Linked DNA regions of Xenopus tropicalis. The protein of the gene in region 3 interacts with the protein of the main gene of each other region in a pairwise test. Links are inferred from orthologs where the notes say so. Each region holds a gene or a part of one and is shown on either strand. Other genes may lie near its edges. The genes, in order: fars2, adipor1, appl1, follicle-stimulating hormone receptor-like and ube2o.

Region 1 (6,366 bases), on a different chromosome or scaffold from region 3:
AATACCAACCACTAACAATTATTCTCCAATGACTTTGCAGTGACTGTTTCATAGTTTTTGTAAAGCTTGTAATGGAAGGACTGAAGTAGCAATTGTGAAACAAGGCTGGTCAAAATCAGCTGAAAGGAGCCCTAAACCAAATAATGTTTCTTTGTAGTTGCTTTGTATTTTTTTTTTACCATACTTCCAATATTTAAAGTTTAATTATATTCCCCAGAAACTCAGTGGCTGACTGACTAAACTAAACTATTAAGAAATATATAAACTACTGTATCCCATTTTAACTGCAGCAGCTTCAACCCCTACTGTAAATGTTCCCTGAGCTTTACTAAACTCAGCTGTTACATTTGACTCTGTAAATCAATTGTTGGCTTTCCTCTGAAGCTGCTGAAAAAAAGTATAAACTAATGAAGAAAAGACTTATGTCAGACTAAGAATGTTGTTTGCATTCTGAAAAATGACAGTGGAGAAAACAAGAATGCTTCCCGCCTCCTTGTGACAGTAATGACATCAGCTTGTTATTGGACACAGTGGGTAGACGTCAGCCTGAAAATGCTGTGTGTGTAGAGACAGGCTCATGCCATTTCTGTCTTTGCTATGGGGTGTCGTAAGGATGTAATTGTGTTTTTTCTGACAACAAAAAAAAAAGCTTAGTCTAACATTAGCTTAAAGAAGAAAGAAAGGTAAAAACTAAGTAAGCTTTATCAGAAAGGTCTATGTAAATACAGCCATAAGCACTCACAGAAATGCTGCACTGACTTCTCCGTGAAAAGATTTATTGTGTCTGTAATTCCTCTGCCAGAGACACGCAGCTCTTTGCTGTCTCCTCTCTCCTGCTCCCCCCTCCCTCAAGAATGCTAAGAACTCACTCCCCCCCTTAGGAATGTGGATCTGAGCCAATCAGCAGGAAGCTAACTCATAGTTCCGAGCATATTTTCAGCTTTTTCGTACGTCCGTGCGACTTTTCTGTACACTTGCACGAAAAATTCAGAAAGCTTCTGCCGCTGTTTACAATCATTCGGTACGAAAATTTTGTGACTTTCGGATCACCAATACGATATTATCGTGACTAATATGATTTTTTCGTAACCATTTTCGTGATAGTTGTGATCTTCAGCAATTCAATTGAAGGTATGCCTGCAGCTTGAGATTAACTCTTTATTAGCCTTTCCTTCTTTCTTAAGAGTTTAGAGAGTCTGTGCCCACTCGCTTACTTAGTTGCCCCCTTTACTTAAACCTGTAAAGGGAAAATTAAACTAAACCTAAATCTCAAACCAATCAATCTCACTTAATAAAAGTCATTTCTGATGAACTATTTGAAAACAGCTAAACTAAAATGGAGATGAAAAAATATCTAGAACGTTAATAGTAAGCTGTAGTAGTAATATGGCCTAAAGGCTACTTGTGCCACAATAAATGCTTTGAAGCAGCAGAAAGAAGTCAATGCCAGTAAAAAGCTACAATAACATTTCTTCTTCACTCAGTTGTAACAAAAAAAACACACAACAAATGCACACAAACCTTAAATGTATGTTCATGTTTTCTCCAATGCATTCCTTCCTATTTTGTAAGATATGACGTACAGAGTGAACCTAAATATGTTCAATATAGATCATATGCTAGGTAGTGTTGTCAAGTGTAGAGAATAATAAAGGACAACTATAAGCTCAAACATACAGAAAATGTATATATTGATATACTTTCTTACCTAAGCTTACTCCACCAATTCCTGAATTACAAGACCATAAATGCTTCCTGAGTCCTGACAGAATATATTTTCTTACATCCATTTGGAATCTGCAGAAAAATAAATGCTATTGGAGTTGCTACACTAAATAAACATAAAGTCAATAAATTATGTTGTTGTATGATAACTATAGAACTGTTAAAGTTATATCTTTCAGCTTCTGGTCATGTTCTCAATTAAAAAATACACAGGCAGGTATCAGTTCATCACTACTAAGTATGCACTGATTTTGCCAAATTCCAGCCATTTTTTCAGGATCTAATTCACCTGAACATGCATTTACATATGCAAATTAGGGTTCTGATTAGTTCAGAATTCAGTCAAATCTGTAGTGATGGATTCAGTATTTGGCCTTATCCTGAAATTATGCATTTGGTGCATCCCTAATACAGGTCTCGGACCCCTTATCCGAAAACCCATTATCCAGAAAGTTCCGAATTACGGAAAGACTCCATTTTAATCAAATAAGTTGCATTTTTTTAAAATGATTTCCTTTTTCTCTGCAATAATAAAACAGTACCTTATACTTGATCCCAACTAAGATAGAATTAATCCTCATTGGAGCCAAAACAATCCTATTGTGTTTAATTACTGTAATTATTGAAAACCCCAGGTCCCGAACATTCTGGATAACAGGTCCCATACCTGTAATTAGCTGCAAAAATATCTGCTAAATTTGTTTTAATAAAGAGGCAAAGAATGCAGACTTGGCATGCTTGACTCACCTAAAACATTGTTGTATATTAATGTGTTGCAGAGCCAAAGCTGGAAGTTTTTGTGCAATGGTTTTCTACAATTATTACTCTAAGGGGCTGATTTACTAATCCACGAATCCGAATGGGAAAAATTCGGATTGGAAAACGGACATTTTGCGACTTTTTCGTATTTTTTGCGACTTTTTTGTAGCCGTTACGACTTGCGCGAATTGTCGCGACTTTTTCATAGCCAGTATGACTTTCGCGAATTGTCGCAACTTTTTCATAGCTATTATGACTTTTGTGAATTGTCGCGACTTTTTCATTGCCATTACAAATTTCGTGAATTGTCGCGACTTTCGTATTGAGCACTCAAAAAAGTAGCAAAATACCGATCATTATGAAAAAAACGCATTCGGACGCTTTTCGGACGTTCGTGGATTAGTAAATGTGCCCCTAAATGTATATGGCAATATGGGTAGCGCATAAATATGGCGCCAACATAATCTCTCAATTAGGAACCTATATACTTGTTTTTAGTTCTTACAACACAATATCACACAAAAACTGTAAATGCTGCTTAGTTACTAAATGCATTAATAGCAGCACACAGAGCCACTCTAAATCATACATGTGTCAATATAATTTTAAATGCATGTGTGCAGGTATGGTGAGTGAGTCTTCTTGTGGGAGTGTTTCTTCCTTACTTATGGACTGTCTGTATTTTTAAAGAATACAGATTGGTTGCAAGTACATTTTTAATAAATGTATAACTGTTAAGTGTGTGAGTGTACACAATTCTCCCAACAACTGCAGAGCCAAATGTTGCCAATAGTGGGTACTGGGAGTATGATATATTAAAGAATAATAAAGAATAATGAAGAACAGATTTCCTATACACTTTGAACTGCCTATTTAAAACATTTATAGTTTAAAGATGGGGGTATTGACGTTATTTGCCAGTTTAATACAGGTTGTAATATAAAGCATGTATTAAAACAGCTAATATAATTAGATCTACTACGTAGCCTACATATATATTTATACAATAAATGGTTATTACTACATAGCTTAACATATAGTTCTAAAGGTGCAGACACTCACACGACCTAAGCAGCAGGTAATCTATGTGACAATGTGAAGGTCTCTTCCCTTTTCTCCCTCCTTTGGCACTTTCAGCAGATCCTATCACACGAGCCCATGACGTCACAGCTACGGGAGGGGACCTGGGACAAACATGTCAGCGGCGTAAATTTACTCTAACATCCCTGAAACGTGTTAAAAGAAAGCCCTATTGGTCCAACGCTCGCAGCTGCGACGACATTCTCATTTTCCATAGATCGCCGATTTAGGTATCTTTAATATTTAAAAGTTTAGCACTGATATTACAAAGACATATGACTGTTACGATAAGAGGAACAACTTGCCGTAGGCGCTTTTTAGGCAAATAGCATTTTTACAGAAAATACCACAAAAGTTCCAACCGAAAGCAAAACGCGGCACGAACACGTTTGTCCCAGATCCCCTCCTGTAGTCGTGACGTCATGCGTTCTTGCGCTAGAAGCTGCTGAAAGTAGGCAAGAAGTGAAAGAAGGGAAGAGACTTTCACGCTGGTTCACCTATCAACTGTATAGGGAGTGTGAGTGTCTGCATCTTCCTAAGGCTCTATTTACTTATTGCACCCCAGCGCTATTTGTAATAGTGCAATATTCAGCATTTATTATTAGCCTGTGTCAGGATTAATTCGCACTGCACGCTTAAGCCTCAGTGTTGTATGTTAACTCCGTATTAAACTGACATGGAGTTTAAGCTGTAAGAAAATTCAGTTACAGAGCTGTCACGATTTGTCATGTAAAACCATAATATTCCCTATACTCAGGGACTGGCATTGTGAAATATCTACTCAGCAACTGGCACTGTGAGATAACTACAACTCATGTCATACATTTACCTCTTTTCAAAAGGAAAAAAAATAAATTTGTGAAAAGAGAAAATATGTTTCTCTTGTACTGCAGTTTAAATGTTAATATTCACATTTAAACTGCAGTCAAAAAAATGTGGCTTTCCTATCCATTAAGTACTCTATTAACATCTCTCTGGCCCTGTGAATAGTTTTGAAGAGTGTTTCTGAGACAATTAGCATTTGGTCTTCATTGTTTTATTTTTTGTGGTTATTTAGGTTTTCGTTCGACAGCTCTCCAGTTTGGTATTTCAGCAGCTATCTAGTTGCTTGGGTCGTTTTTAACCTAGCAACCAGTCAGTTATTTGAATGAGAGACTGGGAAATAAAAAGGACTAAATAGAAAGATAAGTAATAAAAAGTAACAATAACAAAATTGTGGCCTCAGAAAGCAATAGATTTTTGTGTGGCAGTTTCAGTGGACCCCATCTAAAAGCTGAAAAGAAGCAGAAAAGGAAGGCAAATAATTAATAAACTGTAATATATAATGAAGACCAAATGCAAAGTTGCTAGGAATAGAAAGGAACAGTAACACCAAAAAATGAAAATGTATCAAAGTAATTAACGTATGAAGGTACTGTTACTCTGCACTAGAAAAAGTTGCGTGTTTGCTTTTAGCAACACTACTGTAATTTAAAAATACTCTGCTGTGTAGCCATGGGGCAGTCATTTAAACTGGAAAATTGGAGCAAAGGCACAGGTTACACTGCAGATAACAGAGTCTACAGAGCTTATCTGTTATCTGCTATGTAACTTGTGCCTTTTCTCTTATTTTCCAGCGTTATTTGCCTTTTTCTTATTTTGACTCCAGATTTAAAAAAAACTACTGCTCTGTAAGGCTTCAATTTTATTATTATTGGGTTTTTTTTATTTACCTTTATTTCTATGCAGCCCCTTTTCTATTCATATTATCAATCACTGGTAAATTGCACCCTGGTAACCAGATAGCTGCTTAAATGCCAAACTGGAGAGCTGCTGAACAAAAAAAGCTTAATAAATAAAAAACCATAAAAAATGAAGACCAAATGCAAATTGACTTTATCAATATCTGCATACTAAAGGTGTTTATCAGGGTCAGTTATGCTAGGCAATAGAAAACAGATTTATTTTGAGGCCATATTTGTTTTGCTATTTTCATATTTAATATAATTTTTCCATCGTGGCTTCTTCAAGAACTCATGCACATTTATGGTACATTGAAATTGGATTGGTTTTCAACTGTACTAATCACAGTGTGATCACTTTCTTAATTTGGATGTACCATGAGTCATTTTAACTGCATGTACAAGTTAAAATTGTTCAATAAATGTATATTGGAAAGTTACATATAATTACATTTTCTTTTATTGTGCAAAAAATTGGATCCCATACAAGAGGAGGAGCTAACATTTTTCACTTTCATTTTTCCTCGATTTTAGAAGAATGTAAGCTGTTCACAGATCATATATAGCCATTCACCCAACATGCACCAAACTTCACTCTCAAAATATACAGATAAGGCAAGGATTTATATAAAGTTGGTTAAATTGCATACATGACATCACTACCTGGGATGGAGTTTTATATAAAAAGCATATCCAGTTGAACTGCATGACAGTAACATTTAATTTTTAAGATGTGTTTTGAGTGCCCCCAGAATTGTGTATACAGATGTATATCACAAATGGTAGTGTGCTTGTGGCCTCAGCCAGTTACGCTAAGGACATACTCGAAGAGGTTAGAAAGTGGACATGTAAATAAAGGCTAGAAAAAGACCAGTTGCAAACTGTCTTCTAACATCTTAACATCTTCTAATTTAAAAAAATGAATTACCATGAATATATGATCAATATAATATTGAAAAGAATAATATAATGTCTAATTGCCACAAAGTTATTTTATATTTGCAATTATTACAATGTGCTTTATATTTGTTTATATTGCTTTATATTTTAATGTTAATGCTGGAGAGTCTCGAAGTAATAA
Region 2 (5,932 bases), on a different chromosome or scaffold from region 3:
TACCAGTTTATTTTTAGGTGGGGCATGAATAATTCTTTTGTGTACTTCATTTTTGTATTATTATTGTCAGTCATATAACATACTGTACACAGCATGTTATAACATGACATAACGTGTAGAGATTTTATAAAACTGTGTAAGATTGCAAGTCAGGTTATTTTAATTGTGATGTTTTTAGCCATTTTTATATCCAAATTAATTTAATATTTACAAGTTTATGTTTCAGATGTATGAATTATGATATTGCCTGTTTACCCTGTCCCTGTGCTATTCTCCAGGTAGATGAATTTACAAAGTAGAGGTAAGGAGGCAGCCTACCTCCATGGAACCTATTATTCATGCATGTCAAGGACAACCAGTTACAAGAGACTGCCACTGGTTGACAGACTAAAGATAAGTTAGGTAGGCTTGATCACAGGTGTTTAACCCATCCAAGGGAAACCCAGTGCATATATACACATACCTTTACAGATTTTTATATATGTGCTTGTTTATAAATTATTTGTGAGAGAAAAATTAGCTCTAATAACAAGTTAGGCTACAGTCACACAAGGCCGATAAACAGACTGAGAATCAGTCCTTACACTCCAAACAGCATTTCCATGTACGCTCCGAGTGTATTTTCGCCATTTTTTCCGGGCTTGCACGACTTTATTGTACTCTTGGGAGAAAAATTCGGAAAGGTTCTGCCGCTGTTTAGTTTGGTATGAAAATTTTGTGACTTTCGGATCGCCAATACGATATTATCATGACTAATACAATTTTTTCGTAAGCGTTTTCGTGATATTTGCGATCTTCAGAAATTATTGTATCCAATCCGAATTTTTCCTATCCAGGATTCGAACTCGTGTATTAATGAAACGGCCCCTTTGTGTGCCTGCACCCAGTCCGAAACAGTGGCTCCAGGTGCAGGCACATCGGAAAGCTGTTCAGAGCATAGAGGCTGATTCTCAGCCTGAGTTTATCCACAGACTAAGAATGAACCCCATGTGGCTTAATTATGATTCTATGTCAGCCTGCCTTATATCGGTTATCTTAACTATTTTGATTGATGATCACTGCAGATATTGGTTGAGGAGCTCCCCAATGGTACAGAATGACGCCCACCTTTATCTTAAAGAAATTAAGAAGAAACAATTACATGCTCATACTAAACGTTTATTGGTTTCTGTAAATCTGTCAATTCTGGTCCAATTTCGTAGCCGGAAAACTTCTTACAACATTTGTTAATCTAAATTAAAAGTTAAGAATAAAAGTGAATAGAATGAGGTTGGCATTGCAAAATGGAGGAATGACCAGGCTGCAAATAAGATTTTTTTTCTCAAGGGTAGTACAAATGTAATTTTGCAAGAACAGTTGTAATGCAATAAAAAAGTGGGTCATTTTTTATAACCCAAACTTATTAAACAGCATTATCAATGGTACACATGTATCATACTTATAGTAGCTACAAGCATAGGAAAAGAGAATTCTGCATGTAATACAAAACTGGTTCAAGTTACTCTTATATGAAGTGAAGCTGGCCATACAGGGGCAGAATTAAAGAGTTGATTTAGCCCCTGTGGACTGAATCGCCAGTTTATCTGTCCATGCAAGTGTTTGAAAATGGGTTGGCACGTGATGTAGTCATCTCCTGACTAGCCTACACAAGAGCCTATTATGAACTGATCACTGGCCCTAGGGCCAACGATTGGAGCATCTTGATTTGGTCCAGAATTTTAAAATAAATGGCCTGCCAATGCTTCATTCATTTTTACAAATGAGTTACAAAGCTAATAGTGGGCCCTCCAGTTTTTTGCCCATTTATTAAAGCAGCTCTGATATGTGTGGTCTGAACCCACAATACTGGATGAAATGGCTCTATGTGATATTAAAGGCAATACCCTGCGATAAAAAAAATCTTATACATATATTAACGGTCATAATGTAACAGATCTTTAACTGTGAGCAATAAAGCTGTAGATAGTCATCCTATAATACCTTAAATGAATTTAAGCAGTTTTTGACCACTGACCAACTTCCATGGTCATTGTTTGGAATTGTTTTGTTGAATGAGGTTTTCACACACTGAATTTTTTTTTTTTCAAATAATACACTGTAACAGAAAATCAGGTATCGGCCATTTACCTTGCTTTAAACAGTAAATTATATAAAACAAAAATCAGAAGCAGTTTAGGGATCACGGAGACTTAATATTTATCTTCGCATGGAGCAGCACGGTGTCTGTTAGTATACTATATATTTTTAAATAAACTGAGTCACCAAGATACTTGATGATACAAAATATGACCATTTTCACTGTAAGAGAACAGAAATTTGCAGTGTCGAGTCACACACTGTTCACTGGTGGGATATGGTGTTTATTGAAAAACTCTGTATAGCTACAGAAAAGGATTTCCATCAGAGAACACAGGTTTGGTAAGAATTGTGTTGGTTCAGCATCAGTGTTCAGACCAAATTTGTATATATTTATCAATGTACAAAAATACTTATTATAAAGTGCAAGATGTTTACTCCATATGCTTAGATACTCCTTATTAATATACAACCCAACTATACTTTTCAGAGAGCATGTCCAAGAAAGCTGTACACCTGAAAGCCCAATATATAGCTGCTTATATAAGGAATCCTCTGTAATATGTGATGTGTCTCATATTAGAAAAAATGGAACCATAACTGAATCTGCAAAAAATACTAATAAAAGTAAAAAGAAATAATAAACCCTTGTTATAAAGTTGTTAATGCTAATAACATCTTGGTTTAGGCAGATTACTGTATACCATAAGAAGCCATTAAGTCACTTTAATTAATAACTAAGGCATCACATTTTATGGTAGAGTTTTACCCTATATACATCCACAAGAGACTTTACCCTAAACACCAAATGAATATTCCGAATTCTGAAACCTTCTAACCTTGGGAGAGAAAAATGATTTATTCCAGAACAGCAGCAGTAGCAGTAACATACCAAAGGTTCTATTCTGAGGAATGTGTAGATCTGATCAAGTTGGTGACTTGTGTAAAGCCTCTGATTTTTATAACGGGTAATGTGTATGTCAAGCACCTCATTGAAGGTTATGTTCCATTCAAATATGACTCCCAAGGGTTGTTCAGCTTACATTTCTGGAATTTACATTTTGTAATTTTTTGATCAAAGACCAAAATATACAACTAGTGCTTATGGCATCTCTTTTGTCCCAGGAGGTATTTCAAGTATGTACAAAAAATCCCAGCTCTTTTTCCTCCTCTTTTCTTAGTTACATTAGGCACCTTCCTACTGTAAACAAGGAGTTAGCAGAGACAATGATCTTTAAGAACATACTATATATTGATCTAGAAAAGGGTGGCTAGTGGATCAGTCTTGCTCACTTTTTGCACAACCATTGTAGGTCACCAGATGTAGTAAGTCTTAATCTGTTACTGCTGTTTACAAAAGTGAATCATCTGTGCAACCACCCTCTAATGCATATCGAAATTCTTGAAGGTTGGAAATGCCATAGAAATGTATAAATGCTGCTGCCACCACCAAGACGTGGAATATTTGGTGGGACTGGAACTGTGGAGAAAGGAAAAAAAAAAAATATTCATTGTTATGCAGAGTGAATATTATGTTATTGTTCCAAAATATTAAAACAAAATTAAATACTTATAAACTCAGTTTGAGCACTTAAAATTTAGTTTCTCATAAAATAGGTTGGCTGATGTTTAAAGGCAAATGTTGCACACAGCCATAGGAATAGAGGGGAAAGCACCGAGTGCTGCCTGCACTCAGCTGGAAAAGAACAGCAAAGATGCTATCTAGAAAAGATTAACAGAGCCTATGATACTGATATACCAAGGTGCCTCAAATACCTCTGGCCCAGGCCACACATATTTATTAACAACCAAACCTAAGCCACTGAGTATCTATAATCTGTTTTACCAAAAGCACAATCATTACTATTTTTTAAATTAATTTACTAGCCTTTAAAGACACAGTGTACAAAGGGTATTCTGAAAATTTCCATACGCACCCAGATGTCAAATTTGCCTGGAAAGAAACGCTCAGGAATTCGTGCTGCATAAAGCCCTGCTCCTGTTATATACATGACAGCCATAAGAAAGAACCAGCCCATCTGTCCCACTGTTGTTGCCTTCACAAAGCCTTCTGCAATTGTGAAATGAAGGGTTGGCACAATGCCACTGAGGCCAAGCCCTAGGAACACACCTTTAATTGCAAAACAAAACATGTTACTATGAAGCAATATAGACATCTTTCATTACAAACAGGATACATCAACACCCACTAATACACGTGTACACATTACATAAGCACAAATGTAGAGAGCATGACATCTGACAGAAATAATCCTAACCCAAGAATGCTGGGCTTTATGAAGCTGTTTAGGAAACACATTACCTGCTCTTGTTGGCCTGTGCTTAGGTGTCGCAAAACGGTCCCACTGTGCTACAACTATTGCAGTAATACCCAGAACACAGACTATAGACAAATATATGAGACGTGGCTGTGGAGAGCAGTAGAAGGAGTAATAGAGCCATGGCACAAAGCTTCCCATGATTAGCAGAGCAATCCCTGAATAATCCAACCTGAAGAATAGAAATTTGTTGTCACTTCCTTGTTTGCAATAAGTGAATAAGTGAAGCAAACAGACAATATGAGTTGTATTAAGAGATCTGAAATGAATGAATTGGGGTCAGGGCCATGATTTAGGGGAAAACAGGTGGAAGTACTGATAGACCAGTTTCATAGGTCCCAAAAGGGAAGGGAGATTGCCAATTTTTTGGCAGATCAGGGGAATGGTTTTTAACTGGACATGGCCATGTGCCTTGACCCCTTTTCTCTTTAAAGGGCTAATCCAAAAAAACAAAAAATGTACAGGTGCTGGTCAAGAAGGAATTTCGAAAAAGTATGTATCAATAGACTGCAAAGTTGTGGTAGAATATAAATGGGGGCATAGTCAGTTAAAAATATCAGAAAATAAAATTCAAGACAAAAATGTAAGAATGGAATCCCAACAGGGCATGCAAAACACACCCCAAGCTTTTACGTAAGGAATAATAGTTTTAAGAAATACTAAATGATATACTGCCACCCATAATACAAATCAATTTGGCAAATTCTTGAGCCCATTTTCTACCCTCCACTTACTTTGAGAAGGTGCGAGATACTTTCTCAGAGTGGCAATATACTGTGTGAAAAAGCCAGGAGAAGCTGAGGCACAATACAGCACCTAGAAAGAACATTCCAAATACAACCTTCTCTTGCAAAGGAGCCATGAAGTACATGTTGGGGCGGAGCATAGTTAGAACGCCGAGAGAAAGAAAAAGTACAAAACCTGCAAAGTAGATATATTTCTATTACAGTTCACACTCACCAAATTAGTGTAAATTATTTGTCACTTGCAACGAAAGCTAATCTGCATGCAACAATATATAAATTTCAAGATATATAATATATATATATATATATATATATAATTTACAACAAAGGCATCATTAACAGGAACATGGGAACACAGGTGATTGTACTGAATGTTCTCTGGCTTCAGAAAACGCTGCACTACATTTATAAGCGCCAATATCGAAACCAGTCTGTAGTTGAGATCTAATGAACCTCCTTGGGAGCAAGTGAAACGGTTTCCTACCCAGGACTTCATTCATTTGCATGCAAATCTCACTACAAACATGCTGTTTGTGTGGTTTTAATTTTGTTAATTGCTTATTTATAATTTCATACCTAGCAAATGAGTCCATATGTTTCCAGTCTCCGTGTGTATACGGAAAATACTCCTGAAACACGCTCTGAAAGATGGCATTGGAGGACGATGTCCATGTAAAAGGTAGTCATTATCTTTCAGCCAATCAGGGAGCACATCATATGGAATGACCCTCCAGCGGCCTTCCCACACCTAATCAAATAAAAAAAAAAAAA
Region 3 (6,459 bases):
AGGGACAGACACAGTGACAGTAAGTAGAAATGTTCCGGTACCTGAGCGTCGTAGATCCGGCGCATAGCGTGGAACAGCTGGTTACTGTAACTGGAAATGGCAGCGGCATCTTCCTCAAACACCCCCAGTAGGGACCTGGTCTGGAAACAAAAGGGAAAGGAAATTTAGGATGAAAGATTCACCAATCAGAGGAGTCTGCAGACTTCGGCCCCGGGAGTCTCACAAACAGAAGTGGAAGCGGTTTGTTGCCCCCGGGCTGTGCACGCAGCAGTCACAGAGCACATATAATGTTCCTGCATAATGGACTCTTGCTTATGAGCCAAAACAGGTCCAACAAAGGGTGAAAAGAGGGTTGTTTATACAGAGATCGGTGTCTCCCTAGCTGAGTGTAACGAGCAGGTTGGTAAGTACTTAGAGATAAGTTGACAGATACTTGGGGGCAGGGCAGAGAAACTTTATCCCAAATGGCAGCGGAAGCCGACACACTGACTGGCACGGAAGGAACAATTAATCCAGAGTTATTCATTAAGGGCTGGATGCTGACAGACTGGGGAGGGGAGATAATTAACCGTGAGTAATAAGAGGAAACATCACATGATCAGAGTTAATTAGCATTACAGTGGTGCCTTATGGGAGAAACACATCGTATTCAGTTACTCATTGGATAAGAGAATTCATACAAATACCCAGTAAAAAGAAACTGTTATGAAACATCATTTTTGTAATTTGCCTCATTTCGGAGGCTGGTTCTCATTGGCTGTCACTGACCTACTCAGCTGTGTGGAGGCTGGCTCTCATTGGCTGTCACTGACCTACTGAGCTGTGTGGGGGCTGGCTCTCATTGGCTGTCACTGACCTACTGAGCTGTGTGGAGGCTGGCTCTCATTGGCCGTCACTGACCTACTGAGCTGTGTGGAGGCTGGCTCTCATTGGCTGTCACTGACCTACTGAGCTGTGTGGAGGCTGGCTCTCAATGGCTGTCACTGACCTACTGAGCTGTGTGGAGGCTGGCTCTCATTGGCTGTCACTGACCTACTGAGCTGTGTAGGCGCTGCCTCTCATTGGCTGTTACTGACCTACTGAGCTGTGTGGAGGCTGGCTCTCATTGGCTGTCACTGACCTACTCAGCTGTGTGGAGGCTGGCTCTCATTGGCCGTCACTGACCTACTGAGCTGTGTGGAGGCTGGCTCTCATTGGCTGTCACTGACCTACTGAGCTGTGTGGAGGCTGGCTCTCATTGGCTGTCACTGACCTACTGAGCTGTGTGGGGGCTGGCTCTCATTGGCTGTCACTGACCTACTGAGCTTGTGGAGGCTGGCTCTCATTGGCTGTCACTGACCTACTGAGCTGTGCGGAGGCTGGCTCTCATTGGCCGTCACTGACCTACTGAGCTGTGTGGAGGCTGGCTCTCATTGGCCGTCACTGACCTACTGAGCTGTGTAGGCGCTGCCTCTCATTGGCCGTCACTGACCTACTGAGCTGTGTGGAGGCTGGCTCTCATTGGCTGTCACTGACCTACTGAGCTGTGTGGAGGCTGGCTCTCATTGGCTTGTCACTGACCTACTGAGCTGTGTGGAGGCTGGCTCTCATTGGCTGTCACTGACCTACTGAGCTGTGTGGGGGCTGGCTCTCATTGGCTGTCACTGACCTACTGAGCTTGTGGAGGCTGGCTCTCATTGGCTGTCACTGACCTACTGAGCTGTGTGGGGGCTGGCTCTCATTGGCTGTCACTGACCTACTGAGCTGTGTGGAGGCTGGCTCTCATTGGCTGTCACTGACCTACTGAGCTGTGTGGGGGCTGGCTCTCATTGGCTGTCACTGACCTACTGAGCTTGTGGAGGCTGGCTCTCATTGGCTGTCACTGACCTACTGAGCTTTGTGGAGGCTAGCTCTCATTGGCTGTCACTGACCTACTGAGCTGTGTGGGGGCTGGCTCTCATTGGCTGTCACTGACCTACTGAGCTTGTGGAGGCTGGCTCTCATTGGCTGTCACTGACCTACTGAGCTGTGTGGGGGCTGGCTCTCATTGGCTGTCACTGACCTACTGAGCTGTGTGGAGGCTGGCTCTCATTGGCCGTCACTGACCTACTGAGCTGTGTGGAGGCTGGCTTCTCATTGGCCATCACTGACCTACTGAGCTGTGTGGAGGCTGGCTCTCATTGGCCGTCACTGACCTACTGAGCTGTGTGGAGGCTGGCTCTCATTGGCCGTCACTGACCTACTGAGCTGTGTGGAGGCTGGCTCTCATTGGCCGTCACTGACCTACTGAGCTGTGTGGAGGCTGGCTCTCATTGGCCGTCACTGACCTACTGAGCTGTGTGGAGGCTGGCTCTCATTGGCCGTCACTGACCTACTGAGCTGTGTGGAGGCTGGCTCTCATTGGCTGTCACTGACCTACTGAGCTGTGTGGAGGCTGGCTCTCATTGGCCGTCACTGACCTACTGAGCTGTGTGGAGGCTGGCTCTCATTGGCCGTCACTGACCTACTGAGCTGTGTGGAGGCTGGCTCTCATTGGCGGTCACTGACCTACTGAGCTGTGCAGAGGCTGGCTCTCATTGGCCATCACTGACCTACTGAGCTGTGCAGAGGCTGGCTCTCATTGGCCGTCACTGACCTACTGAGCTGTGCGGAGGCTGGCTCTCATTGGCCGTCACTGACCTACTGAGCTGAGAAAGGAATAAACTGCTGCGGTTTTTTGGATGCAGAATTATTAAAGGGGAACTCCACCCAAAACTGAAGGAAGATGTTTGCTGATCCTATCATACAAACTGTTTATGTGCACGTGTGACTGTGATTGGACGCAGTGTTTGTTCTGGGCGGAGCCAAACCTTCCAATAAATCCCAGTGTTTCTCTGATAATCACAACAGACGGCAAAGAATGACGACTCTTTATATAAACGGAATCTACTTCCTGAAGGGGAAATCAGATTATTCCTCCCTTTTATTCTCTGCCATTATATCTCCCACTGACCCTAGCAACCGCGCCAAGGTGTGAATGCCAGGCTGGGAGGAATAAGACCAATAAGTAACAGAACCCAACCCTCTCACAGTTCCCTTCCATCCTTAACCAGCAAAATGACCCACATCAGGGGGGACTTTCTGTACCGACCCCACTACCCCTCATGTCCCACTCCTACATGTTCAGCAATCTGCTTGGCAAGAGGTTCCGCAGCAGCTGCAGGTCTCACCCCTTGGCTATGCACCAGCTCACTATGCCCTGTGCCAACCCCCCCCCCCTCCCAATGAGGTTCTGGTGTTGGTTCTATCCCCCAGCTCACTATGCCCTGTGCCAAGCCCCCCCCCCCCTCCCAATGAGGTTCTGGTGTTGGTTCTATCCCCCAGCTCACTATGCCCTGTGCCAACCCCCCCCCCCCCCTCCCAATGAGGTTCTGGTGTCGGTTCTATCCCCCAGCTCACTATGCCCTGTGCCAAGCCCCCCCCCCCCCTCCCAATGAGGTTCTGGTGTTGGTTCTATCCCCCAGCTCACTATGCCCAGTAACCAACCCCCCCCCCGGCCCAATGAGGTTCTGGTGTTGGTTCTATCCCCCAGCTCACTATGCCCAGTAACCAACCCCCCCCCCCCCCGGCCCAATGAGGTTCTGGTGTTGGTTCTATCCCCAGCTCACTATGCCCAGTAACCAACCCCCCCCCCCCGGCCCAATGAGGTTCTGGTGTTGGTTCTATCCCCAGCTCACTATGCCCAGTAACCAACCCCCCCCCCCCCGGCCCAATGAGGTTCTGGTGTTGGTTCTATCCCCCAGCTCACTATGCCCAGTAACCAACCCCCCCCCCCCCCCCCGGCCCCAATGAGGTTCTGGTGTTGGTTCTATCCCCCCAGCTCACTATGCCCAGTAACCAACCCCCCCCCCCCCGGCCCAATGAGGTTCTGGTGTTGGTTCTATCCCCCCAGCTCACTATGCCCAGTAACCAACCCCCCCCCCCCCCGGCCCAATGAGGTTCTGGTGTTGGTTCTATCCCCCCAGCTCACTATACCCAGCACCCAACCCCCCCCCCCGGCCCAATGAGGTTCTGGTGCCGGTTCTATCCCCCAGCTCACTATGCCCTGTGCCAACCCCCCCCCCCCCGGCCCAATGAGGTTCTGGTGTCGGTTCTATGCCCCCGCCCCATAAGCCTGTGCAGCCCTGGCCCCTCCCCAGCGGCCCCTGTACCCGGGCCCCACCTTCCCCCCCCCCCCCGGCCCCACCTTCCCCCCCCCGGCCCCCCCTGCTGCTCTCATTAACCCTCTCGGTGCCTCCCTGGGAGTGACACGGCCAACAAGCCCCTCCCCGGTTCCCGGTAGCCCTCACTCCCCTCATTCTGACACCCCGGTACCTGAGGGCTGTCCTCCAGCGTCTCCTCGATGGGCAGCTTGTCAGTGCCGAGCATGGCGCCGGTTCCTGGGCCGGGGAGCAGCGGGACAAGCGGGGACTGTAAACAGAACCGTGAATTCTACAGCAGCGCCCTGCCAGCGGACATCCCGCCTTGTGCCTTTCGCACCCTCTTCTCATTGGCTCAGCCGCGCTGTTACTCACAAGCGCGAAGTTGCTATTGGGCGGCTGAGCGATCTGTCTGTGTGTATGGTTGCTAAGAGGCGGGACTGACAGGAAGTTGTCAAGATGACGCTAAGGGGAAGGTTCGCTGAGAATTGGCCCTGAGTGGCCCCAGGTGCCCCCTGTATCCCAGTACCCCCTGTATCCCAGTACCCCCTGTATCCCAGTACCCCCTGTATCCCAGTAACCCCAGTACCTTCTGTATCCCAGTAACCCCAGTATCCCAGTACCCCCAGTATCCCAGTACCCCCAGTATCCCAGTACCCCCTGTATCCCAGTACCCCCAGTATCCCAGTACCCCCTGTATCCCAGTACCCCCAGTATCTCAGTACCCCCAGTATCCCAGTACCCCCTGTATCCCAGTACCCCCTGTATCTCAGTACCCCCAGTATCCCAGTAACCCCAGTATCCCAGTACCCCCAGTATCCCAGTGCCCCCAGTATCTCAGTGCCCCCAGTATCCCAGTGCCCCCAGTATACCAGTACCCCCAGTATCCCAGTACCCCCAGTATCCCAGTGCCCCCTGTATCCCAGTACCCCCAGTATCCCAGTGCCCCCTGTATCCCAGTACCCCCAGTATCCCAGTACCCCCAGTATCCCAGTACCCCCAGTATCCCAGTGCCCCCTGTATCCCAGTGCCCCCTGTATCCCAGTACCCCCAGTATCCCAGTGCCCCCAGTATCCCAGTACCCCAGTATCCCAGTACCCCCAGTATCCCAGTACCCCCAGTATCCCAGTGCCCCCTGTATCCCAGTAACCCCTGTATCCCAGTACCCCCAGTATCCCAGTGCCCCCTGTATCCCAGTGCCCCCTGTATCCCAGTGCCCCCTGTATCCCAGTACCCCCTGTATCCCAGTGCCCCCTGTATCCCAGTACCCCCTGTATCCCAGTACCCCCTGTATCCCAGTAACCCCTGTATCCCAGTACCCCCAGTATCCCAGTGCCCCCTGTATCCCAGTGCCCCCAGTATCTCAGTGCCCCCAGTATCCCAGTGCCCCCAGTATCCCAGTACCCCCAGTATCCCAGTACCCCCAGTATCCCAGTGCCCCCTGTATCCCAGTACCCCCAGTATCCCAGTGCCCCCTGTATCCCAGTACCCCCAGTATCCCAGTACCCCCAGTATCCCAGTACCCCCAGTATCCCAGTGCCCCCTGTATCCCAGTGCCCCCTGTATCCCAGTACCCCCAGTATCCCAGTGCCCCCAGTATCCCAGTACCCCCAGTATCCCAGTACCCCCAGTATCCCAGTACCCCCAGTATCCCAGTGCCCCCTGTATCCCAGTAACCCCTGTATCCCAGTACCCCCAGTATCCCAGTGCCCCCTGTATCCCAGTGCCCCCTGTATCCCAGTACCCCCTGTATCCCAGTACCCCCTGTATCCCAGTGCCCCCTGTATCCCAGTACCCCCTGTATCCCAGTACCCCCTGTATCCCAGTACCCCCTGTATCCCAGTGCCCCCAGTATCCCAGTATCCCAGTACCCCCAGTATCCCAGTAACCCCAGTATCCCAGTGCCCCCTGTATCCCAGTACCCCCAGTATCCCAGTACCCCCAGTATCCCAGTATCCCAGTGCCCCCTGTATCCCAGTGCCCCCTGTATCCCAGTACCCCCTGTATCCCAGTACCCCCTGTATCCCAGTGCCCCCTGTATCCCAGTACCCCCTGTATCCCAGTACCCCCTGTATCCCAGTACCCCCTGTATCCCAGTGCCCCCAGTATCCCAGTATCCCAGTACCCCCTGTATCCCAGTAACCCCAGTATCCCAGTGCCCCCTGTATCCCAGTATCCCAGTACCCCCAGTATCCCAGTACCCCCAGTATCCCAGTACCCCCTGTATCCCAGTAACCCCAGTATCCCAGTGCCCCCAGTATCCCAGTGCCCCCAGTATCCCAGTGCCCCCTGTATCCCAGTA
Region 4 (6,701 bases), on a different chromosome or scaffold from region 3:
AGTGGATAGATAGGTCAGTGTGGGTCTGTATGTGAGTGTATAGATAGGTCAGTGTGGGTCTGTATGTGAGTGGATAGATAGGTCAGTGTGGGTCTGTATGTGAGTGTATAGATAGGTCAGTGTGGGTCTGTATGTGAGTGTATAGATAGGTCAGTGTGGGTCTGTATGTGAGTGGATAGATAGGTCAGTATGGGTCTGTATGTGAGTGGATAGATAGGTCAGTGTGGGTCTGTATGTGAGTGGATAGATAGGTCAGTATGGGTCTGTATGTGAGTGGATAGATAGGTCAGTATGGGTCTGTATGTGAGTGTATAGATAGGTCAGTGTGGGTCTGTATGTGAGTGGATAGATAGGTCAGTGTGGGTCTGTATGTGAGTGTATAGATAGGTCAGTATGGGTCTGTATGTGAGTGGATAGGTCAGTGTGGGTCTGTATGTGAGTGGATAGATAAGTCAGTATGGGTCTGTATGTGAGTGGACAGGTCAGTATGGGTCTGTATGTGAGTGGATAGATAGGTCAGTATGGGTCTGTATGTGAGTGGATAGGTCAGTATGGGTCTGTATGTGAGTGGATAGATAGGTCAGTATGGGTCTGTATGTGAGTGTATAGATAGGTCAGTATGGGTCTGTACGTGAGTGGATAGGTCAGTATGGGTCTGTATGTGAGTGGATAGATAGGTCAGTATGGGTCTGTATGTGAGTGTATAGATAGGTCAGTATGGGTCTGTATGTGAGTGTATAGATAGGTCAGTGTGGGTCTGTATGTGAGTGGATAGATAGGTCAGTGTGGGTCTGTATGTGAGTGGATAGATAGGTCAGTATGGGTCTGTATGTGAGTGGATAGATAGGTCAGTATGGGTCTGTATGTGAGTGTATAGATAGGTCAGTATGGGTCTGTATGTGAGTGTATAGATAGGTCAGTGTGGGTCTGTATGTGAGTGGATAGATAGGTCAGTGTGGGTCTGTATGTGAGTGTATAGATAGGTCAGTGTGGGTCTGTATGTGAGTGGATAGATAGGTCAGTATGGGTCTGTATGTGAGTGTATAGATAGGTCAGTATGGGTCTGTATGTGAGTGGATAGATAGGTCAGTGTGGGTCTGTATGTGAGTGTATAGATAGGTCAGTATGGGTCTGTATGTGAGTGGATAGATAGGTCAGTATGGGTCTGTATGTGAGTGGATAGATAGGTCAGTGTGGGTCTGTATGTGAGTGTATAGATAGGTCAGTGTGGGTCTGTATGTGAGTGTATAGATAGGTCAGTATGGGTCTGTATGTGAGTGTATAGATAGGTCAGTGTGGGTCTGTATGTGAGTGTATAGATAGGTCAGTATGGGTCTGTATGTGAGTGTATAGATAGGTCAGTGTGGGTCTGTATGTGAGTGGATAGATAGGTAAGTATAGGTTGTGGGTGCTGGGTTTACTTGGAAGGGTTGAACTTGATGGACTCTGGTCTTTTTTCAGCCCTATGTACTATGTAACCCTGATAGTGCTTGGGAGCAACATGCTCACCAACCCCACTGAATGTTGCACCTAGTGGCTCTAAAGCAGGTGCTTATTTTTTAATTTCTGCCTTGGAGGCAAATATGGGTTGCATAAAAACCATGCTTACTGGCAAACAGAGCCTCCTGCAGGCTGCCAGCCCATATAGAGCTACTAAATAGTCATTTACAGACTGTATTTGGCACCTCCAGGAAACGTTTTTATGCTTGTGTTGCTCCTCAACCCTTTCCACATTTGTATGCAGCTCACTAGTAAAAAAGATTGGGGACCTCTGTTGCAGAACATGCATAAATATGCCATAAATCCCTATGGTTTTGGTAATTAAAACTTGTGTTTCCTTTATTTCAGGATGCAGGTATTGTCCCTAAAGGCAGCGTATTTATAAAAAAAAACAGCATTGGCAGAAACTTCAAGGACAGCTCCAACTCCAGCTAAACACCCTGTCCCTTGCTCTGAAATAATAAAACTGTTAATATTACACATTCAGAGTCGTGTAGAAATGCAAAACACTCCCTGCCCAACTGATATTGTTGTCTTTGGGTCCGCTCAGGATTAACTTCAAGGTTACGTCGCAGCCAAAAAAAAAAAAAAAAAAAAGCCTTATACATTGTTACCAACAGGGCTTTCTATTGATAAATAGTGATCCCATGGGGCTTGGCTGGCTTTGCCCGGCACGGAGTATGAGTTAGGAAATTAGCTGCTCGTTGTCAGGCACGTTACACCTCTTTTGAAGGCGGATCTTAAAAGTCTTCCCTCTCTCAGGAAACTGAAGTCTGAACTTGTTTAGAGCACGAGAGGGACATCAGATGTAGACAGAATGCCTCTTATTTTCGTCTGCATGTTGTTTTGTTTGCAGCCCTGTTTTGGATGCCATGCTGTTTGCCAATGCATGGGCAGAAGTTTTGTCTGCCAAGAAAACAAGATGGAACAGATTCCAAACAATATCCCCAGGAATGCCACTGAATTGTAAGTCTTGGGATTCAATCTTATTGGAGTTATTATGTCATAATGCCACTCATGGTATATGTAAGCCAGATATACACTATATATATATATACAGGTATAAGACCCGTTATCCAGAATGCTCGGGACCAAGGGTATTCCGGATAAGGGGTCTTTCTGTAATTTGGATCTCCATACCTTAAGTCTAATAAAAAAAAAAACAAAAAAAAAAAACCATTAATTAAACCCAATAGGATTGTTTTACATCCAATAAGGGTTAATTATATCTTAGTTGGGATCAAGTACAATGTACTGTTTTATTATTACAGAGAAAAGGGAATCATTTAACCATTAAATAAACCCAATAGGGCTGTTCTGCCCCCAATAAGGGGTAATTATATCTTAGTTGGGATCAAGTACAGGTACTGTTTTATTATTACAGAGAAAAGGGAATCATTTAACCATTAAATAAACCCAATAGGGCTGTTCTGCCCCCAATAAGGGGTAATTATATCTTAGTTGGGATCAAGTACAAGTACTGTTTTATTATTACAGAGAAAAGGGAATCATTTAACCATGAAATAAACCCAATAGGGCTGTTCTGCCCCCAATAAGGGGTAATTATATCATAGTTGGGATCAAGTACAGGTACTGTTTTATTATTACAGAGAAAAGGGAATCATTTAACCATTAAATAAACCCAATAGGGCTGTTCTGCCCCCAATAAGGGGTAATTATATCTTAGTTGGGATCAAGTACAGGTACTGTTTTATTATTACAGAGAAAAGGGAATCATTTAACCATGAAATAAACCCAATAGGGCTGTTCTGCCCCCAATAAGGGGTAATTATATCTTAGTTGGGATCAAGTACAGGTACTGTTTTATTATTACAGAGAAAAGGGAATCATTTAACCATGAAATAAACCCAATAGGGCTGTTCTGCCCCCAATAAGGGGTAATTATATCTTAGTTGGGATCAATTACAGGTACTGTTTTATTATTACAGAGAAAAGGGAATCATTTAACCATTAAATAAACCCAATAGGGCTGTTCTGCCCCCAATAAGGGGTAATTATATCTTAGTTGGGATCAAATACAATGTAATGTTTTATTATTACAGAGAAAAAGGAAATCCGTTTTAAAATTCTGAATTATTTGATTAAAATGGAGTCTATGGGAGACAGGCTCACCGTAATTCGGAGCTTTCTGGATAATGGGTTTCCGGATAAGGGATCCTATACCTGTATATAGAAATCATCAATATCATGACAAAGTATAAGTAACCTCAAGATATTAAACTCCCTTTACTGATATATAATATTTATCCTGAATGATTGTATAAACCTATTCCTTATAATAATTATATAAAACCCAGGGTAGTGACTGTATCTATAAGATCGACCATATATCATAAGGGTTGATGAAAACATAAAGAGAACATTCTTTTTATGTCGGGTTGAATCTATTTTTATATCTAGAAGTTTTCTTTTTCCCCCACAAATTCTAGGAAACGCATTTTGTACGTGTCGTTATAGAGCTCAGGGTGACAGGAAAAAGCTAATGTTGCGTTTGTAGTGTTTATCTTGTAGCGCGTCTTATCAGCCTTAAGGACGCATGTTTACTGTGATGTCAGCGCAGTAAGTGGTGTCACTTTTTATAGATACAGAATAGAGGCGAACATTCCAAGTCCTCCCACACAGGCAAGCAGAGCTGAATATATAAATGACTTTTTTTCAGAGAGAAAGCTTCAGTAATATATGGAGAGAGAAAAAGTATCAGTAATATATATATAATTTTTTTTTTGAGGTCTTTTTAACAACGCCAAAGTGTATTTATTGGTTAAAAAACAATAAATACACCTGTAGAGTGCTGTACTTTGCAATATATCTATGCATTATTGGCACTTTGGCAAATGATTTATTTTTGAGGGTATTATCCTTTTTTGTATTATACATATAATATTTATAACCCAGTAGAATAGTTTTAACTCCAATAAGCATTATTCTGTTATATTAAGGATGATTATAATGGATTATAAAGGATATGTTAGTTGGGATCAAGTACAAGGTACAGATATGGGACCCATTATCCAGAATGCTCAGGGCCTGGGGTTTCCGGATAAGGGATCTTTCCGTAATTTGGATCTCCGTAACTTAAGTCTACTAAAAATCATTTAACCATTGAATAAACCCAATAGGGCTGTTCTGACCCAATAAGGGGTAATTATATCTTAGTTGGGATCAAGTACAGGTACTGTTTTATTATTACAGAGAAAAGGGAATCATTTAACCATGAAATAAACCCAATAGGGTTGTTCTGCCCCCAATAAGGGGTAATTATATCTTAGTTGGGATCAAGTACAGGTACTGTTTTATTATTATAGAGAAAAGGGAATCATTTAATCATTAAATAAACCCAATAGGGCTTTTCTGCCCCAATAAGGGGTAATTATATCTTAGTTGGGATCAAGTACAGGTACTGTTTTATTATTACAGGGAAAAGGGAATCAATTAACCATAAAATAAACCCAATAAGGCTGTTCTGTCCCCAATAAGGGGTAATTATATCTTAATTGGGATCAAGTACGGGTACTGTTTTATTATTACAGAGAAAAGGGAATCAATTAACCATAAAATAAACCCAATAGGGCTGTTCTGACCCAATAAGGGGTAATCATATCTTAGTTGGGATCAAGTACAGGTACTGTTTTATTATTACAGAGAAAAGGGAATCATTTAACCATTAAATAAACCCAATAGGGCTGTTCTGACCCAATAAGGGGTAATTATATCTAAGTTGGGATCAAGTACAGGTAATGTTTTATTATTACAGGGAAAAGGGAATCAATTAACCATTAAATAAACCCAATAGGGATGTTCTGACCCAATAAGGGGTAATTATATCTAAGTTGGGATCAAGTACAGGTACTGTTTTATTATTACAGAGAAAAGGGAATCATTTAACCATTAAATAAACCCAATAGGGATGTTCTGACCCAATAAGGGGTAATTATATCTTAGTTGGGATCAAGTACAGGTACTGTTTTATTATTACAGAGAAAAGGGAATCATTTAACCATTAAATAAACCCAATAGGACTGTTCTGCCCCCAATAAGGGGTAATTATATCTTAGTTGGGATCAAGTACAGGTACTGTTTTATTATTACAGAGAAAAGGGAATCATTTAACCATTAAATAAACCCAATAGGGCTGTTCTGACCCAATAAGGGGTAATTATATCTAAGTTGGGATCAAGTACAGGTAATGTTTTATTATTACAGGGAAAAGGGAATCAATTAACCATTAAATAAACCCAATAGGGATGTTCTGACCCAATAAGGGGTAATTATATCTAAGTTGGGATCAAGTACAGGTACTGTTTTATTATTACAGAGAAAAGGGAATCATTTAACCATTAAATAAACCCAATAGGGATGTTCTGACCCAATAAGGGGTAATTATATCTTAGTTGGGATCAAGTACAGGTACTGTTTTATTATTACAGAGAAAAGGGAATCATTTAACCATTAAATAAACCCAATAGGACTGTTCTGCCCCCAATAAGGGGTAATTATATCTTAGTTGGGATCAAGTACAGGTACTGTTTTATTATTACAGAGAAAAGGGAATCATTTAACCATTAAATAAACCCAATAGGGCTGTTCTGCCCCCAATAAGGGGTAATTATATCTTAGTTGGGATCAAGTACAGGTACTGTTTTATTATTACAGAGAAAAGGGAATCATTTAACCATTAAATAAACCCAATAGGGCTGTTCTGCCCCCAATAAGGGGTAATTATATCTTAGTTGGGATCAAGTACAGGTACTGTTTTATTATTACAGAGAAAAAGGAAATCATTTTTAAAAATTAGAATTATTTGCTTATTATGGAGTCTATGGGAGAGGGCCTTTCTGTAATTTGGAATTTTCTGGATAACAGGTTTCCAGATAAGGGATCCCATACCTGGCTTTCTATATATTTTTTAGATTTTTCATATATATATATATATTTTTTATAGATTTTTTTTTTGTAATTTACATTTGAACTATGCAGGTGTGGGATCTGTTGTCCGGAAACCTGTTATCCAGAAAGCTCCAAATTAAGGGACAGCCATCTTCCGTACATTCTATTTTAATTAAAAAAGTCATATTTTTAAAAATGATTTCCTTTTTCTCTGTAATAATAAAACAGTGCCTTGTACTTGATCCCAACTAAGATTAATTTAAAACTTAAGGTATGGAGATTTCAATTATGGA
Region 5 (6,602 bases), on a different chromosome or scaffold from region 3:
GCTTAGTACAGGGGAATCCCTATGTGCCATAGTTTTATGGTATCTCTCTGTACAGGCTATGAGCAAACTTAGGGGGCTGTTCCTGCTGAATTGTGCTTAGTACAGGGGAATCCCTATGTGCCATAGTTTTATGGTATCTCTCTGTACAGGCTATGAGCAAACTTAGGGGGCTGTTCCTGCTGAATTGTGCTTAGTACAGGGGAATCCCTATGCTGCTATAGTTTTATGGTATCTCTCTGTACAGGCTATGAGCAAACTTAGGGGACTGTTCCTGCTGAATTGTGCTTAGTACAGGGGAATCCCTATGTGCCATAGTTTTATGGTATCTCTCTGTACAGGCTATGAGCAAACTTAGGGGGCTGTTCCTGCTGAATTGTGCTTAGTACAGGGGAATCCCTATGCTGCTATAGTTTTATGGTATCTCTCTGTACAGGCTATGAGCAAACTTAGGGGACTGTTCCTGCTGAATTGTGCTTAGTACAGGGGAATCCCTATGTGCCATAGTTTTATGGTATCTCTCTGTACAGGCTATGGGCAAACTTAGGGGGCTGTTCCTGCTGAATTGTGCTTAGTACAGGGGAATCCCTATGTGCCATAGTTTTATGGTATCTCTCTGTACAGGCTATGAGCAAACTTAGGGGCTGTTCCTGCTGAATTGTGCTTAGTACAGGGGAATCCCTATGTGCCATAGTTTTATGGTATCTCTCTGTACAGGCTATGAGCAAACTTAGGGGGCTGTTCCTGCTGAATTGTGCTTAGTACAGGGGGATCCCTATGCTGCTATAGTTTTATGGTATCTCTCTGTACAGGCTATGAGCAAACTTAGGGGACTGTTCCTGCTGAATTGTGCTTAGTACAGGGGAATCCCTATGTGCCATAGTTTTATGGTATCTCTCTGTACAGGCTATGAGCAAACTTAGGGGGCTGTTCCTGCTGAATTGTGCTTAGTACAGGGGAATCCCTATGTGCCATAGTTTATGGTATCTCTCAGTACAGGCTATGAGCAAACTTAGGGGGCTGTTCCTGCTGAATTGTGCTTAGTACAGGGGAATCCCTATGTGCCATAGTTTTATGGTATCTCTCTGTACAGTCAGTAAATAAATGTTAGCCTATAACTCTAGCTGTTGTCAGTTACTAGCTCTGCCTGCTGATTGGCTCTCAGGGTGGGCAGCACCATGTTGCTGGGCTGGATAAACCTCCCGCAAGCACCCCCAGCAAGTTCCATTGGCAGCTTCCAACAGCCACAATCACGACTGTATGTAACGACAATAACAACAACAGTAATAATGGTAAAAGCTGAATTTACTCACATCTATTGAACTGTGTTATTGTATGTGAAGTTCTTTATCCCCTGGGGGAACCTTCCCAAATAGCCTCATTGTATTGATATTTAATGGGTGCTAATTGTGGGGAGCAGAAATCTAGGGTGGGGGAGGGCCCATATCTTCCCACAATACAAACACATCCAGGCAGGTTAAATGCCTCCTGATGAGCTGACCCGAGTGTGCGCCATGATTGTGCTAGATTGTAAGCTCCTCCGGCGCAGGGCATTGCTATGAATGTTGCACCGTATAATCATAGAGAACATTTTCTCATGGATATTAATCTTTTTCTTTCCAGGATCCCAGATCCATGATGATGGACTTTTATTCTTTGATCTATGATTGGATTTCAGAACCCAGTTTGGATAGTTCTGAGGTAGGTGGTTTGGGGCAGGTTAGTATAGGGGCTGGTGCCTGTGTCTGTTATACAGGAGAATAGAGTATATATAATTATATCCATTGAGTTTAGGGTTTCCGCAATGCTAGAATAGAGCCGGCCGGCCGGGCACCGCTCCAGCCTTTCACTTACAGCATTGCCAGTACTGAGACATTAACAGAGTATTTATACCAGCGCTTTGTAATATTCCCTAGAAATACAAATGCCTTTATCTTATCAGCAGGTCGGTACCCAGTGTGCGGCAATTCCTTTGCTGAACTTGTCCTTGGGTCAGTAGTAAGAGGCTACTTGGGGTATTAATGTGTGTGTAGCTTTACCCCATCACTGTATTTCTCCTTATTGTACTGGGAGCCTGATTGGGGGTGAGACAGAGATGCAGCCAGGGATACACTGGATACTCCTTATCCCCCCGGAGGCTGGGAATGGGGACACCTTGATAAATGCACAAAATGCCAAACAGAAATGGAATCTCCTTATAGTATGTATTTGGGGCTTGACTTTGAACCCAAGAGGGCTCTGCTGCTGAGAAGCTACACAGGCCTGAGTTAGTTCCCGTACTACACCGCTAGGGGGCAGATTATACTAATATGAGCAAACAGTGGGGCATCTCCTGGGGAATGGGCACATTTATTTTGGGAAAGGTATCTCTGCCCCAACTCTGAGCAGCTTTTACCCTATAGCCCCCCCCCCCCCCGCCCTTAATGCAATGCAGTAAGATTTAGTGCTGTTCTGGAAGCCCAGTGTATTATCCCATAGAGACACAGGGAGAGCAATAGGGAGGCTTCTAGAGCCCCGCAATGTGACTGGGGCCAGGCCTTTATAAGCGCTACACACCAACCTTAGCAACAGAGACCCAGGCGTTCCCCTAGCAACAGCATCCTCTCCCCTAGTTACCACGCCGGGCGTGCTGACGTCAGTGCGCCCTTTACGCAGCGCTCTCCTTGGTAACCGCCCCGGCCGGCAGCAGCAGCTCCTGTCTCTTCCCTTCCGGACAACAACAATGGCGGATCCCTCGGACTCGGCTCCATCCTCCGCCTCCCCCGGGCCCCCGGCCGGTGACGGCTCCCAGCGGCTCCTGTTCTCTCACGACTTGGTGTCCGGCTGCTACCGGGGCCACACCCGCTTCGGCCTGGTGCGTCTCATCCACGGAGAGGACTCGGAGGAAGAGGAGGATGCGCTGCCGGGGGAGGAGGAGAGCGGCCCCGGGGGGAGGAAGAAAGGAGCCGGCGGCGCTGCGGGAGGAGGGAGTCCCGGGTCGGAGCCGCCGCTCAGCAGGTTCGGCCCATTAAAGCGCGGATATGTGCGGGTCCAGTGGTACCCGGAGGGCATCAAGCAGGACGTCAGGGAGAACAAGGTAAGGGCCCCCCGGTGTGTGAGGGAGGGGGGGGCACGGTGGGACTGCAAGGCTCGGCCTCTCCCTGGGGCAGTGCCCGGGCATACATCTGCCTTTCTCTACTTACTACTGATTGGCTGTTGTACCACTACTCCCAGCATCCCCCTGGGGCCATGCCCAGGCACGTCCTACAACTCCCAGCATCCCCCTGGGGCCATGCCCAGGCACGTCCTACAACTCCCAGCATCCCCCTGGGGCCATGCCCAGGCACGTCCTACAACTCCCAGCATCCCCCTGGGGCCATGCCCAGGCACGTCCTACAACTCCCAGCATCCCCCTGGGGCCATGCCCAGGCACGTCCTAGGACTCTTTATGCTGATGAACCACAGCCCCCAGTATCCCAGTGGGACCCGTCCTTCAGATCTGGGCCTGGGCTCCCTGTAGTGTCTGTGGCCCTTTCATCCCTCCCTGTGGCCCCGTCAGGTTCAGCAGTGGCTGCCATGGGATGCTGGGTGCAGTCAGGCAGAGGCAGATCTAATTGCCCCCCCCCCCCCATGGCTGCACTGGGAGCAGTACTACAGATGCGCTTCTTGCTAACATTGGGTTTGATGGGCACAAGCCACATTGCTAGGCAGCTGCCGTTAGTGTCCGATTGGTGGCACGGGGGGGGGGGGGCACAGGTAACAGGTGGTACTTTAGGGGTTTAGCTGTTTCTCTGTCCCTAACCCCCCCCCCCCCCCCCAGGCTTTGTATCCCAATGTCTCTCCTGTCTGGGTAACCTCCTATCCCTATTGCCCCTTGCTACAGCCTGAGGGGCCCCGTACATGTCACTCCCTAATTGTGAAGGGCAGTGTTGTTGGGCACAGAGGGTGAATAAATATTGGGGTCCCCTGAGTGTTATGTGTCCCCCATCAGCCTGTCCCTCAGGGCCCGGAACTGCAGTCTCTATGTATGTAGCTGTTGGGCCCAGTGCCTACCCCCCCCGTCCCTAATTCTGGCCTGGGCCCATGTCACATTGGGCAGATTAGGATGGGGGCACGGGTGGTTAGCGGGGCGAGTAGCGGGGGCATGGCCGGGTAGCGGGGGCACAGACGGGGGGGGGCATGGCCGGGTAGCAGGGGCACAGACGAGGGGGGGGCATGGGCGGGTAGTGGGGCACGAGCTGCGGCTGCTGTGAGGCCTGGAATAATCCAGCTGCAAAGTGATGACTGTGCATATGAGCCGGAGGGGGGGGGCGAGATGCTGGGGGGGAATGTAAGTTGGAATGTAAGTGTCTGACAGTATAATAACCTGTCACACTGTGCCTGGTACTGCTAGCCCCCCCCCCCCCCCCATAGCATCCTCAGCATGTCATTGGGCAGCCTGCCAGCCGTGCCCATGTGTGTTTGTACTATGGGTCCTGGCACTGCTGGAGAAGCCTCTATTGGGGGGCCCTCCTGCTGCGAGAGCAAGTAAAGCAAAAACAGTCGCTTGGTTTAGGAGTGGGAGCAGGGTGGGTGGGGAAATACAAAAATAGGGATGGGGGGGGTCACTGAACACATTATAATTGGGGCAATTGCTGCTCATGATTGCCCCCCACACCCCCTCGCATGGACAGGAATAGTGCAGGAGCCGCACTACCAGAATCCTTTGGGGCATTTGCTGTCAATGTGACGACCCTGGATCTGTTGGGGACAAGGATAAACCAGCCGGCAAAATGGGAGGGGGGGGTCCCAAATGGTGAGGCAGTGGCAGATGGGCCGGCTAGGCCTTTGGCTCCCATTAGGCAGGAGGTGATGCTGTACAGAGACACAGAGACATGGCCCCCCCCCCCCCCCCGGGACTGGGTAACTTGTTCCAGATGTTCTACTGGCCAACAAGCAGCCGGGCCCTGGTAGGTGCCAGTCACAGTGCCAGGGGTGTATGTATATATGTGAATACACTGTTATCTGGTAACACTTGGTGGTGTCTGGGGGGGGGGGTGTTACTGGCTGGGAGTGCGGTGATAACACTTTGCAAGGCAGATAAGTCACATGACTGTGCAGAACTGAGCGTGTCTGTTAGGCAATCCAGAGCCGCGGGGGGGGGGGGGGCATTGGGCCGCTGGAGGGTCCCGTCCCAGAATGTGCCCTCACTGTAATGTATCATGGGGGGGGGGGGGGGGGGGCAGTGCTGGGAGTTGGCATTGCAGGGAGTGAGTATAGAATCCTGCCTCTGGCTCAGTTACTCAGCACTTGTACGTGCCGCCCCCGGGGGTCTCTGTGCGCCGGCGAGAGCGTTCCCTCCCAATCCTGGCTGGGCTGGGGCGGCCCCCCTATAGCCGGTCTCGGCAGAGCCCTATGGGGGATTGATAAGACTATTAATAGCCGGGCAGCGGCAGCCTGTGTGGGGGTATTTGCTACAGGCAGCAGTGCGCCTCCTATCCCTGGGAATTGGCACAACTGCTCAGAAACACCCCGGGACTGGCCTTTTATTATATAGCTCAGCCCAACCCTTTCCTTATAGCGGGGGGGGGGGGTCAAATCATAACGTCACCCTTAGATATCAGTGGGGCTCAGGGGCTATAATCTCCCGAATTATTATATATAACGTATTATAGGCACTGAATTCTGCATTATCCTGGTCGGAGTGCGGGGAGGGGGGGGGCTCACCTGGCTAATGGCGCCCCCCTCCCCCCCCCCATTGATGCAGTTTGTCTGCATTGTATCCCAGGAGTGTTCTGGCAGGTAGGGCAATGTTCCACCCCAGGGAATAAGGCACTCGGCTGTTCCAGAGCCCCCCCCGGTTATTGTATTGGTACTGGGGGCTTTTGTTTAGCTGAGCAGCTCCATTGTAATTCCCTGTAACTCACCGGTGATGACTGTGCATTCCCAGGGGTCCCTGTACTGAGAGGAGCATCCCGGGGGGGGGGGGGGGAATGTTATTAACGCTGCGCTGTGTGTCGCTCTGGGAGTCGGGCTGAGCCGGCGGATATTTGGCGCTGTAGGCCCAAACAGGCCCAGATTGGGGGTTTCGTACCTGATATATACATGTTAATGGGTATTGTTTAGAGCTGATACTGGGCCTGTATTACTGGGGGGGTGGGGCAATTAGAAGTACAACTGCCCCCCAACCCTAATTAATAGCCACATGGGGAATAGGCAGGTGCTAATGGAACATACGTTCCGGGAAGTCCATATCCGTGCATTGAGCCTTTTTATTGGAAGGGGTGAGAAGCCCTAGTTGCCCCAGTCACATTCACTGCAAGGAACTACAGTGTAGACACCATAGCAACCAGCATAGTTACAGTAGCCGCGTGTAAGATTTGTACCCTTGCGCTGCCCAATAGATGAGCAGAACCAGGTCCCTTGCACCGAGCTGTTCCATCAGATCCAGGGCAACAGTCAGATAATGCCCCTTGTATCTATGTCCCCATACACAGCAACACTAACCAACCAGATTCTCCACTTGGGGCCACCTGAATAAGCCCCAATCAGATGGGTCGGGGTAACTGATGATTTTGGGCCCAAACCTATGGTATATCTGCCCATTCTGTTAGTCGAGGCCAAATCAGCAGCCACTGTCTGTATGT

Evidence for each region.
Region 1: the proteins of appl1 (region 3) and fars2 interact in binary tests that used the Homo sapiens proteins (3 or more experiments, as listed by UniProt). The two-hybrid records come from large-scale screens. The link is inferred for Xenopus tropicalis from reciprocal best matches to the Homo sapiens genes APPL1 and FARS2.
Region 2: the proteins of appl1 (region 3) and adipor1 interact in binary tests that used the Homo sapiens proteins (3 or more experiments, as listed by UniProt). The link is inferred for Xenopus tropicalis from reciprocal best matches to the Homo sapiens genes APPL1 and ADIPOR1.
Region 4: the proteins of appl1 (region 3) and follicle-stimulating hormone receptor-like interact in a two-hybrid assay, tested with the Homo sapiens proteins (2 studies listed by BioGRID). The link is inferred for Xenopus tropicalis from reciprocal best matches to the Homo sapiens genes APPL1 and FSHR.
Region 5: the proteins of appl1 (region 3) and ube2o interact in binary tests that used the Homo sapiens proteins (3 or more experiments, as listed by UniProt). The two-hybrid records come from large-scale screens. The link is inferred for Xenopus tropicalis from reciprocal best matches to the Homo sapiens genes APPL1 and UBE2O.

What each region holds. Positions count from the first base shown.
Region 1 is NC_030682.2:88,245,551-88,251,916, reverse strand, and holds the start of fars2 (phenylalanine--tRNA ligase, mitochondrial), read right to left. Parts: upstream 3,655-6,366; 5' UTR 3,547-3,654; intron 1,798-3,546; 5' UTR 1,791-1,797; coding exon 1,709-1,790; intron 1-1,708. UniProt on the Homo sapiens protein: Is responsible for the charging of tRNA(Phe) with phenylalanine in mitochondrial translation.
Region 2 is NC_030678.2:75,136,779-75,142,710, reverse strand, and holds the end of adipor1 (adiponectin receptor protein 1), read right to left. Parts: intron 5,910-5,932; coding exon 5,738-5,909; intron 5,337-5,737; coding exon 5,150-5,336; intron 4,588-5,149; coding exon 4,400-4,587; intron 4,208-4,399; coding exon 4,014-4,207; intron 3,557-4,013; coding exon 3,428-3,556; 3' UTR 1,143-3,427; downstream 1-1,142. UniProt on the Homo sapiens protein: Receptor for ADIPOQ, an essential hormone secreted by adipocytes that regulates glucose and lipid metabolism. Required for normal glucose and fat homeostasis and for maintaining a normal body weight.
Region 3 is NC_030680.2:148,668,427-148,674,885, forward strand, and holds the start of appl1 (DCC-interacting protein 13-alpha), read right to left. Parts: upstream 4,523-6,459; 5' UTR 4,387-4,522; coding exon 4,333-4,386; intron 141-4,332; coding exon 42-140; intron 1-41. UniProt on the Homo sapiens protein: Multifunctional adapter protein that binds to various membrane receptors, nuclear factors and signaling proteins to regulate many processes, such as cell proliferation, immune response, endosomal trafficking and cell metabolism.
Region 4 is NC_030681.2:21,712,788-21,719,488, reverse strand, and holds the start of follicle-stimulating hormone receptor-like, read left to right. Parts: upstream 1-2,267; 5' UTR 2,268-2,317; coding exon 2,318-2,466; intron 2,467-6,701. UniProt on the Homo sapiens protein: G protein-coupled receptor for follitropin, the follicle-stimulating hormone. Through cAMP production activates the downstream PI3K-AKT and ERK1/ERK2 signaling pathways.
Region 5 is NC_030686.2:45,267,682-45,274,283, reverse strand, and holds the start of ube2o ((E3-independent) E2 ubiquitin-conjugating enzyme), read left to right. Parts: upstream 1-2,548; 5' UTR 2,549-2,719; coding exon 2,720-3,073; intron 3,074-6,602. UniProt on the Homo sapiens protein: E2/E3 hybrid ubiquitin-protein ligase that displays both E2 and E3 ligase activities and mediates monoubiquitination of target proteins. Negatively regulates TRAF6-mediated NF-kappa-B activation independently of its E2 activity.